2 linked regions of the Oryzias latipes genome follow. Each later gene encodes a partner of the first gene's protein in a complex. Links are inferred from orthologs where the notes say so. Each region holds a gene or a part of one and is shown in the gene's direction. Other genes may lie near its edges.

Region 1 (5,561 bases):
AATGTCAGGGAATGAAATTGCATGTTCGCTCGGCTCATCGTCAGCGAAAATCGCCTGGGTGTGAACACAAAAAACGTAGCGAAAAACGCTGGCGAATAACGCCTGGCGAATATTCGTCCCGGTGTGTACGGGCCTTTAGTGTGACATGTTGAAGCGGTGCAAATCTCATGAATCTTGCTCCAAGCTTTTTCTTTCACAGCTTTATTCCAATATGTGAAATATTTGGTGTCATATTATTTCAGCCGTTTGTTTGGTTCATCTTCCTCCAAACTGACTTTTGTTTTAGGATCCTGGAGAGGCTGGGGGTCAATGGTGAGGAACTAGTTTCCAGGACCGCCTCCTTTGATTCCAGAAGAGGCACACTGTACACACTCCTCATTCAAAGCTGTGATGATTGTTAGTCTGCAGAAAACCATCAGAAATCAAAGCCCCACCCTCCTGTGCTGGGAACCCCGAACAGGAAGGAATGTTCTCACGCAGCTGCTTTAGTTTCATCATTTGTTCTCATCGATTCACTTAAGTGTTTTGATCATCCAGGACGTTTCCTCAGACATCAATGCTGCTCACCAGCATCAGGTCTGATTCTCCTATCTGCTTCTGTCACACAGGTGATTTCAGATTTGTCTCTGCCACATACCGCCTGTTCAAGCTCCCCAGGGGTCAGTCCAAGGCCTGCCGGGTGATGTACAACGGAGGGATTCCAGGGTCAGAGACTGTCCTCCACTTTGACTGTTGCTACACCTTTAAGGTCTGTGTGTCAGTCCTGCAGAAACCAGGTTTTGTGTACGCAAATGTTTTAACATGGTGGTAATATCTGCAGGCCAATGAGCCAGTGGAGGTGGACCAGGAGCTGGCCAGCATCCTGAAACATTCCAGGTTTGCAGACGACTTCACTTTCCAGCCACCAGGGGGCTCCTGTGAGCCCCGCAGCGTCCCAGCTGAGGTCAGTGTTTCCCAGACAGTCTGAGGAATGAAGTATTCTGCTGTGCGCCTTTGTCACAGTGGAGATGAGTGTGTTTCCGATACCAGCTGGAAGAGCGTGACACACCCACGGCCGCACACGCGCTGCACGCTCTGTGCCTCACACACAGCAACACACACACTCGGAGGGTTGAGCAGCTGCTTGCAGACATAATCGGACTGGAGTCATGCTGGGAACCTTGAGCAGCAAGGAATGTTCTCTTCTCTTGCAGTGACATCTTATCAGCTCCTGGTGTCAGAAGTGCACAGGCACATGTACACATTTGTCAATATTGCTGGACTGTTTTACAAAGCTCTCGTACTCATAGATAACCACTTCTTTTAGCTTCTGCTGAAGCATTTATGCGTGGAAAGTACTTTAGAAGTGATTCATTACAGTCAGTTTACTATTTACCTTTGACACCCATCCGCCAACCACCATGCCCACCTCCTGAAGGAATCAAGGAGGAGAAAGTCTGCCTAACCCACACGGGTCTTAGCTGATAGGACCACCTTTATTCGTTCCTGTAAAACTGCAGCTACAAGTACTGAAAACAATCCTGCGCTGTCAAGCATGGTGGGCGGTGCTTTGATTTCTGATGGCACTCAACTTTGCTGCACAAAGCCAGATAACATCTCTGCTCTCAGCTCCTAACGCTGAATTATTGATGCAGGCGAACGCCGCGGATCCCTTCGAGCTGGCCCTCAAGTCCGGCGAGCAGGGCCTCGTCTCGGCCACAGGAGGGGGGTGCTGCAGCACTCGACCTGCTGACTGCTGCAAGTGATGCTGGGAAGACCACGGGAAGGACAATGCTGCACCGCTCCGTCAGCATACAGGACCTTTTCAGAAGCGGTGTCCTGCCTGTGACTTTCTGTTTCCTTTTTTTTGTGCTCCAGTCTATAAATCTGTAAGGAGAAAGGAAGAAACTGGTTTATTTTTAGTTCTAATCTTTCAAAATGAGAAATAATTTTAAATGGAAACCCAAAGAATGAGTTAAAACATTAATAAGCAGTATAGAAAGGTTAATGATCACATGTTCATTCAGAAATGTCCTTAAAGACAATAATGTATGCCAGTTCATTAAAGCTCTTATTGTCACATCAAAACTTGTCTTTTTGACCTTTTTTCATTTAAGTTTTGCACACAAATCATCTTTATAGAGTTCTAATGTTCTGCGTCGTGAGTCTGTAGCTATAAAAATATTCAAACATTGAATGTTTTGGTTTTATTCCATCTATCAACCAGCGGAGGGTAAAAAGTTTTTTGTCAGAGGTTGGAAAAGTTTGCATCTAATCAGGACTTTCACCCCCCACCCCTACCCCCTGTCCAGCAGCCAAACAAATGTTTGACTCTATGATCAACGGACACAAATGTAGATTTAAAGAATGCAGACTTGAGAGTAAATATTTAGGGAATCCCTGAAGTTTAAAGGATGATGTTCCTGAAAAGAAACTGCCTCGCATCTTTTTGCCCGGTCAAATCTGCTCATTTGCTGTGAGGAAACAGTTGTGGCTTTTTGGAGGACCGTTTGCGCGCAGCTCTGTCACTCCACGCGGTCACGGAGCGTGAAAGTGTCTGTCATCCCCTCACTCAGCCAGGCTTCTTCACATGAGGTGCACTTGTTTGGGAATTTCATTCGCCGAGGAAGCTGCGCAGGCCCCGCCTCCTGGCCGTCTGCGCCCCCTGATTGGTCGCCGCCGTCGCCTGTCTCGGGGACATCAGGCGAGGCGTGAGTGGCCCCAAAGTCTGAGCTCAGTGTCGGACACGTCGTGGGAACGAGCGTGTCCCGATGCACCAGTCCCGGCCGCCGTGCGCGGAGATGAAGGCGGACTCGGACGGACTCTGATCCACAGCGCCTCTCATTCAGGAGGTCGACTTCTACTGCTGATCGATATGGCAGATCCGTCATCCCAGGCAGAAACCGCCGCAAACATGGCGTCACTGAACCGGGTTCGAGCTCTGGCGATGATTCTCTTGACTGTCACGGGCTGCTGCGGCACCCCGACGAGCGGCGCGGAGGGCTCCGAGGAGACCGTCATAATCGGGCTGCGGCTGGAAGACACGGACGACATTTCCTTCATGGACAAGGGCTTCCTCCGGGTGAGCGAGCGCTCCCGCGTCCGCCTGCGGGTGTACGGGCAGAACATCAACAACGAGACCTGGTCCAAGATCGCCTTCACGGAGCACGAGCGCAGCCGCGCGGCGCGCGCCTACGACAGCTCCTCCTGGGATGAGCAGGACTCGGATGACTGGTCCGGCGCGCATCCCTGCGGGATCAGGACTTCGGATATCATCATCCTCCCCAACATCATCCTGAACCGAAAGACCTCCGGAATTTTGGAGATCGACGTGAAACCTCTGCGGAAGACCGAGAGGAGTAAAGCCTACTACCTTTGCATCGCCACCTCCGCGAGTGCCGCGGCGGGGACGCACGACCCGTGGACCGAGAACACCTGGATCTACCACGATGGGGAGGACACCAAAGTAATCGTGGTGGAGGAGAAGAAGTTCCTGTTGCCCTTCTGGCTCCAGGTCATCTTCATCTCCATGCTGCTGTGTCTGTCCGGCATGTTCAGCGGCTTGAACCTGGGCCTCATGGCTCTGGACCCCATGGAGCTCCAGATCGTCCAGAACTGCGGCACAGAGAGGGAGAAGAACTACGCCAAAAAGATCGAGCCGGTCCGGAGCCAGGGCAACTACCTTCTGTGCTCGCTCCTGCTGGGGAACGTGCTGGTGAACACCACGCTGACCATCCTGCTGGACGACATCGCCGGCTCCGGCCTCATCGCGGTGGTCATGTCCACCATCGGCATCGTCATTTTCGGGGAGATCGTGCCCCAGGCCATCTGCTCCAGACACGGCCTGGCTGTGGGTGCCAACACCATCTTCCTCACCAAGTTCTTCATGCTGCTCACCTTTCCCGCCTCCTACCCGGTGAGCAAGCTGCTGGACTACCTTCTCGGACAGGAGATCGGAACCGTGTACAACCGGGAGAAACTCCTGGAGATGCTGCGCGTCACGGACCCCTACAACGACTTGGTGAAGGAGGAGCTGAACATCATCCAGGGCGCGCTGGAGCTCAGGACTAAGACGGTGGAGGACGTGATGACCCCGCTGAGAGATTGCTTCATGATCCCCGGGGACACCACCCTGGACTTTAACACCATGTCCGAGATCATGAAGAGCGGCTACACGCGCATCCCCGTTTTCGAGGGCGAGAAGTCCAACATCGTGGACCTGCTCCTCGTCAAGGACCTGGCCTTTGTGGACCCGGACGATTGCACGCCGCTCAAAACCATCACCAAGTTTTACAGCCATCCTCTGCATTTTGTCTTTAACGACACCAAGCTGGACACCATGCTGGAGGAGTTCAAGAAAGGTGAGGCGAGTTTACTCCTCCGCTGTCAGCCTGCAGCTGGCGGAGGCACCTGTCACAGGTGACTCATACAGCAACCTGCGCACCATCCAGCGCACAGCTGGATATGCAGACGCAGCTGCTGCGTCTGCATATCCAGCTGTGCGCTCACCTGCAGACAAAACCTGCTTTGGAGGAATGTCTCTCAGTCGTTCCTGTACAGAGGGAGTGTAAAGGCTTATTTATTTATCCATCCTTCTTCCCATCGCTGCGTCCTGTGTTAATGTTCTGCCTCTCTCCTTCTGTTTTCCACCCCCCACCCCACCTCACCCCACACACTTGTGGGAACGGTGCAGCAGTCCCGCTCACCTTATCAGGTGGGGGAATCTGGCTTGAGAAGCTGCTTTGGTCCACCTCTGCTGGAATGCAGTGGTGTGGACAATGAATACCAAACTGGAAGCGGACTCCCATCTGCACATTTCTCTAGGCCGCTAGAGAAACCACTATTTTGGACAATCTTTGGCCTTCTCTGAAGTAGGCACACCTGAACGCACACCTGTATGTGTGCAAACGCGGATGTGAGCGCCTGCTGCCTTTTGTGCTCATTAGTAGTGGATAAACATGCAGCAAATCTATCAGCTCTGTTACCAGAGATTAACTCTCAGGGCCAAATTAGCATTACATAAGGGACTGTTTGGGGACAGGGGGGCCAGTTATAGTCATTTCTGGTTTACAGGTGTATACCGAGGTCCACAAATGAAAACAAGTTTTACATAAACAATTGCAGAATAATGGTTTGGTAAAAATCTATTTATGTCCGTCAGACGTTTATAACAGCACAAACACAAACACACACATTTACAGTCACAAACTTTTTGACACCAATATTCTTCTTAACTCATCGACCATTCTGAACCGTTCCCCTGCCAAGCAGCCAATCCGAGTGCAGTCTCTCACTAGTCAACCAGATTGCAAACTATTGATGATAATTGCAAAAACAAAGGACACTTCTTACTGTCACCTACCATCATAAGAAACACCAGAAAAAGAATCTTCATTTCCACTTGTGAATTCGGGAGTGTAGAATATTTTTCAACACACTTATTTGTTTTACAGTTTTTCTTCAGTTGCCTTGGTGCATTTCTCACAACTTAAACTTTGCTCAACAGTTATTGCAACCTCCACAACATTTAGTGGTAGTTTCCTGTTCAGTTTGTCCCATAGCATCTGTTTTTGGAAACATAG
Region 2 (5,402 bases), on another chromosome or scaffold:
GCAGGAAGAGGCCCCCAGTCTGCATGACCTACAAGAAGCTAGACGGAATGACCCAGTGGACGTCCAAGAAGCCATCTGGCAATCCAAGTCTTGTGTGGCTTACCGTTCCCACTGCCTCACGCAATTCCTTAAGCAAGCATAAGTGCGCTTAGGACGACTTAATCTCAGGGAAACTGGTTTGGGACACACTTGTTGACTGGCAGCGTGGATACACCCGCCTGTAAGGTCACGGGGTTCCTTCAGTCACATAACACTGAGTGAGTGTTTTTGTCAGCATGCCTTAGCCGTCTGTTGCAGAATTGTAAATCTCTGGATTGGTTGCGCCTCGTCATTGAAACGTAGCCCGTGTGAAGGTGTTTGGATCAATTAACTAGCGCGCGAACGGAGGATTATTCGATATCTCGGGCTGGCAGTTTTATGAGTGCGTTTGTAACGAGCAAAAGACTTGTCAGGGTGACGTGCTGCTGGCTGCGATCTGTGCCATGAAGCCGCGAGAGGAAGCATGAGAAGCCTGAGCCTGTCTGCACATGAACAGAGGTCACTCTTGGCCTTTTGACTGTCTGCCAGTGCAGGGGCCAGCCACTTCCAGAAGAGGGCCACAGCTATAGGCAGAGGGGGAAAAAAAGCCAGACAGGGCAGACAAGCCCCATCATCTGCAGTCTAGGTCTGCGGCCAGAGCCTGGTCTAGGGCAGCTCAAGTTACCCAGACAGATTTGTTAACACTGTTTGGGTCCACTCAGCTTTCTAGCCAGGCCAAACGCGGCTGAGGTGACTTAATCTGTCATTAAACTCACATTACACCCGGACAGAGACTCTGATCTGGGGGGACAGACGCTGCGCTCACTCTTCCACTGGCATGGCTGGCTGGGTTTAAGCAGACTTTGAGAAAACTCCCCCTCTCCTCCCGTTTGTGCCACACACCGTGGCACGGAAAGGACAGCTAAGTCCCGTCACACAGCTAAGTCATTTAGCTGCGTGACGGGCATCATCGTGGATTCATCACTGTTACCCGTCTCCACAAATCTTCAGTCTGTTGCTGTGCATTTTGACTCTGTCATTCTGAACTTGTTCAATCGCACAGAGCTGTGTCATGAAAGCCAGAGACAGATTGCAGGCTTTTATTATGAAAATATACACACGCGTGACCCGCCTTCACTGGCTGAGAGGCTGCTTTATGCCCCTCATTCTCCTTCCACTCTCATTAAAACAACACTTTATTCAAAATGGTTGCTTTTTAATTATCGCCATAGCAACCGTTGGCCTGGGGGTGAGACACAGGTGTATGTAATTTTTAGAAGAAACAGCAAAGGTAAAGTTTGGGATTTCCGTGGCAACTGAGGTTTTTCTGTTGACCACATTCCTAATATGCTCATACTGTATATCATATTGTTTCATTCAGCTTGAGCCAGGAATTCATGTATGACATTTTCAAAATATTCCAGTAACAACGCGCAAGCTACAGGGGAACGCCACTTTTGCAAGCTCGCCACGCCAGCGCCGATAAATATCTTGAACTTCTAATACTAAGCAGCAGCTTCCCAATGATGCTCGAGGAGTTGAGAGGCGATAGATTGAAATCCCCAGGAGGACTTTAAATTTGGAGCTGGTACCAAAGACGATTTTGGTTTGTTTTTTAAAGAAAATTTCCGATGTCCGCCTCTTCCCGAGGTCAAAGGTAGTGGTTGAAGACTTAAGCTGGCGGCATTTGTGTGGAATTATGTGAAGATCGCTCAAAGAAAGGGTTTCTATTCCCTTATTGTGCAAAACTGTGATCATTTCACACCTGGCCAATCCTTTGGCCCCACTCCTTTTCTGACAGTTTCTCCGGCTGTGATGTCATCATTTTTTGGGGGGTTGGTTCACCGTGTCAAAAATTCTTTTTCACTGGGTGTGTGCACATTTTAAAGTGTTGTTGAGTATTTGGTGGGCGTCAAATTTTCATTAATACACGCAGTAAGACAGTAGAATCGCAAAAACAAAGGGGTCTTTGCCGTCCAGCCCTGCTGCCGATGACACTGAAATGATCTCAAATTACTGAAAACTCTCAGATTTTATCATTCATTTTGTGGCAATGTCATCGTAAAGGAAACGTTGTCGTATTTTTCCCGTTCTTTATTTTTTCTACATTTCTGTCGTCGTGGGTCTGGCTCTGAAATTTAGAATCGCCGGACCCCGTTCACATTAAGCAAAAATATTGATTCCGTTATTTGAAGATGGAGAATGTCAGAACCCATAACAACCTGCAGGATCCATCAGTGGAGGTCTTTGGCAGTGTTCCTCTCTGCTGAGATTTGTTTCTACTTAACAGCTGGTTCTGCTTTCCCTCCAAATGTCACAGCGCCCCTCTGTCAAGAGCTGCCAAAGCCAACATATGAGCTTTGGAATCAGCTGGTCCGAATCAGAGGCAAAGCCAGATCATTTTCATATGAAAATGACTTTAGTCTTCGTTATTTGACTTTGTTCCTTTTATTTATTTGTTTACTCCACTTTCAAGCCAAAGTTGCAAAAATGGACCAGATTTTTCCTAATTGGCCAAAATGAAGTGACAATAACTTAAAAGTGATGGAGAGGAGGTTTTTGAAGCGCCGGCGGTTGATTGGCTGCTCACCTGGCGTGAGCGGCACTTCCAAACTTCGTGTTCGCGCCGACGAGCACTCAGGAACGGCGCCGAATTAAAATGCATTTATTCTAAGCTACTTCTACTAAAGCTATGCAGGAATGCTGCGCTCAGCTGTAACACAGATGCTTTTGTTTTGAATAATTTTCTTTTGTTTTTTTTAAACCTCCTAAAACGCCGTTGTGCAAAAGTTTTTAACTGCGCATCCATGGCTCGTGAAATGAGGACGTTTGGGAGGAATTAGACTTCATAGTCTAAAATCCTTCTTCTGACCGCTTTTGCATCTTTGTCCCTCCGTTTTTCTGCAGATTAAAAAGTACTTTGAGCTGGAGCCGCTGGCCCGGGGGAAGCGCTGGATCCTGGAAGGCAGCAGCACCGACAACCTGGTGGCGGTGAAGGAGAGCTTCGCTCAGTTCATTAACCTGTTGGAGGACAAAGACACAGAGCCTGCAAGGATATGATGCTAATGTTAGCAGACATTAGTGGCTTACAAACACCACATCCTGCTGCTGCCCACACACACACACCACACGCAGAAACACAAACATGTACATACTAGCAAAAACAACAGCTGTTGGCCTCTCGCTGAGATGTGTGTATTGTAGACTGTTTGCAGTCTCGTTTCTCAGTAGAGGAGTTCGCAGGAATAATGACGACTGCAAACGAGGCAGACAGCAGGTTTTAGCAAAAAAACAAACTTTTTTTAATTGTAAAGTGGTTCACCACTGTTTGTGCCAACGTGATCGGATCAGACACCAACACCCGAACACACACCTACCTTTGCAGGATGTTTGGTGAACTCGGTTGATGTTTTCCCCTGAGAAGTGCTGTAGGACTGAGAGCCTCTGTCCACAGAGATCCACCCACTGAAGTGCGCAGCCTTGTAGTTACACGCCAGTGTGTTACACTACGTCGAAAAATCTAATCTGAATAGTGTAGCTGAGTATGTGATGGAGTATTATGTACATAGAGACGCGTCCTGTGCTGTGCAGCTTCCTGTGCAGCACAAGGACGCGCTACTAGTTGTGAGACTTAAGTGCAAAGTGACTTTATGGGTTCATTTGGAAAAGTCTGAGGGCTTTAAATGTAAAACTTAGCTTATATTTTATGTGAACCTCATAGATTAACGTTTTATATATATAAATACATGTTGTGCATTCATCTGTCATATGAATTTCTTTCAAAATCACAGACCAAATGTTAACGATTGACAGAAAGCCACGGAGACATTGAAGTGTTGAGGCCGTGCTCGTCTTTTGCTCTTTTACCTGTAGATATGAACGTTTTTTTCTTTCTTTTTTGAATTGAACACGATCCTTCAGCACAGGCCGGCGTCTGCAGTTTCTCATCGGGGTGAAACACAAACTATCAATCAGCCGCAGGAACAGCTGCCTCTGACAAGCGTCTGTCCGACACCCTAATGCCTTCCAACTGTCTGGAGACCCCTCCCTGTCTGCCGTTTATCGCGCCGGACCCCCTATCCATCCGCTCCCAACCCCATTTCTGCTCCCCCCATGCCACCTCGGCCGCCGTGCCCCCACGTGGACCCCCTCCCCGAAAGTCGCAGTCGTAGTGCCACATGGTCGGTCCAAACGTGCATTTAAGAAACCAAAAACTTTTGACCTCTCTCTGTTTTTGTTCTGTACTTTGTCGGGTTTTTTAACACTTTGATCACTTTTTGTACCTGATGTGAGAAGTGAGTGGATCAGCGCATATGTTGGCTTCAATGCTAATAAATCTGTCGACAAGAAATGTTTTTCCACTGTTGCTTCATTTATTATCACCTGAAATGTTGCATTTTTTGTTTATTTATTTATTTTTAAAAAGGGGGATTTTGAGCTTTTCTAATAGTGTTTGCAGTGATCTTTTAATTATTACGATGTCATTTCCTAAGACCTAGTTTCTGCAGAGCGGCAGGAGTTCATTAGAAAATCACCTGGACCTTTGGTGCAAGCCTGCCCACACGTCCCATCATCCCTTTACAGCCCCTCACACCCCCCAGCCTGAAATCGGAGCTATCCAGGCGTACGGCCGCAGTGAGGAAAGCCAAGATCTAGTCATCGACAAGTGAACAACTATCTTCTAAATAACAACTACATTTTTCTTCTTTTGCCGTCTGCTTCCGATTCACAGTGATTTAAATAAAGAAATATTTAGAAACATCATTTTAAGCTCAATTTCTTTTAAATATGTCCTCCATCATCAGAAAAATGCCACAAGAACGTTAAAAACCATCTTTAAAGTGTAAAGCGGTGACAGAAAGGTTTTCGATCTCTGGTGAAAATCTTTCTTTGGAGTCTGTGATTTGTGAATTAAGGTGCGTCTGAGCAAACCTGACAGGAAGAGGACCTGCAGGAAAACGCAGACGGAGCCAAAGTCTGACAGAAACAAAGCGATCAAAGCGGAGAAAGTTTCGAGTGGAGAGTTAACGGGGTGAGACAGAACTTCCTGATAAAAGTACTGGGCTCTGTGCTACCTCTGCCTCCTCCTTTCTTCCCTCACTTTTAAATTAACCGTGTGGCTTTAATACAATGTGTGTCATGCAGGTTGCCCTGGCGACTCTTTGATCCTGTTTTCCAGTCCTTGCCTCTGGGACAGACGTGCTTCTCTTCAGTCTGCTGCACACCAGCTCTGGAAGCTGTTGCAGCCCTGAGACAAACCATGGGCTGCTGCGCTCATCTGGCTCCCCCTTTTCTCTCCCTGTCACTCTCACTTTCTCTCTATTTTAAGCCCTTCTTTCTCTCATTACCGTGTTTTTGTCTCGGATTTTGTCTCGGTCTCTGCT

What was found.
Region 2: the proteins of cnnm2 (region 1) and arl15 are in contact, whole or in part, in a crystal structure (PDB 8F6D), measured with the Homo sapiens proteins. The link is inferred for Oryzias latipes from reciprocal best matches to the Homo sapiens genes CNNM2 and ARL15. Residues at the interface, in NP_060119.3 of Homo sapiens: Asn490, Val492, Pro521, Leu522, His523, Phe524, Val525, Phe526, Thr529, Glu537, Lys542, Ser543, Gln549; in NP_061960.1 of Homo sapiens: Tyr92, Ser94, Arg95, Gln98, Gln128, His129, Pro130, Gln131, Cys133.

The regions. Positions count from the first base shown.
Region 1 is NC_019859.2:29,482,766-29,488,326, forward strand, and holds the start of cnnm2 (metal transporter CNNM2), read left to right. Parts: upstream 1-2,167; 5' UTR 2,168-2,569; coding exon 2,570-4,340; intron 4,341-5,561. Other genes in the region: as3mt (arsenite methyltransferase), read left to right, coding at 609-748, 821-943, 1,635-1,745.
Region 2 is NC_019867.2:5,699,802-5,705,203, forward strand, and holds the end of arl15 (ADP-ribosylation factor-like protein 15), read left to right. Parts: intron 1-2,925; coding exon 2,926-3,078; 3' UTR 3,079-4,373; downstream 4,374-5,402.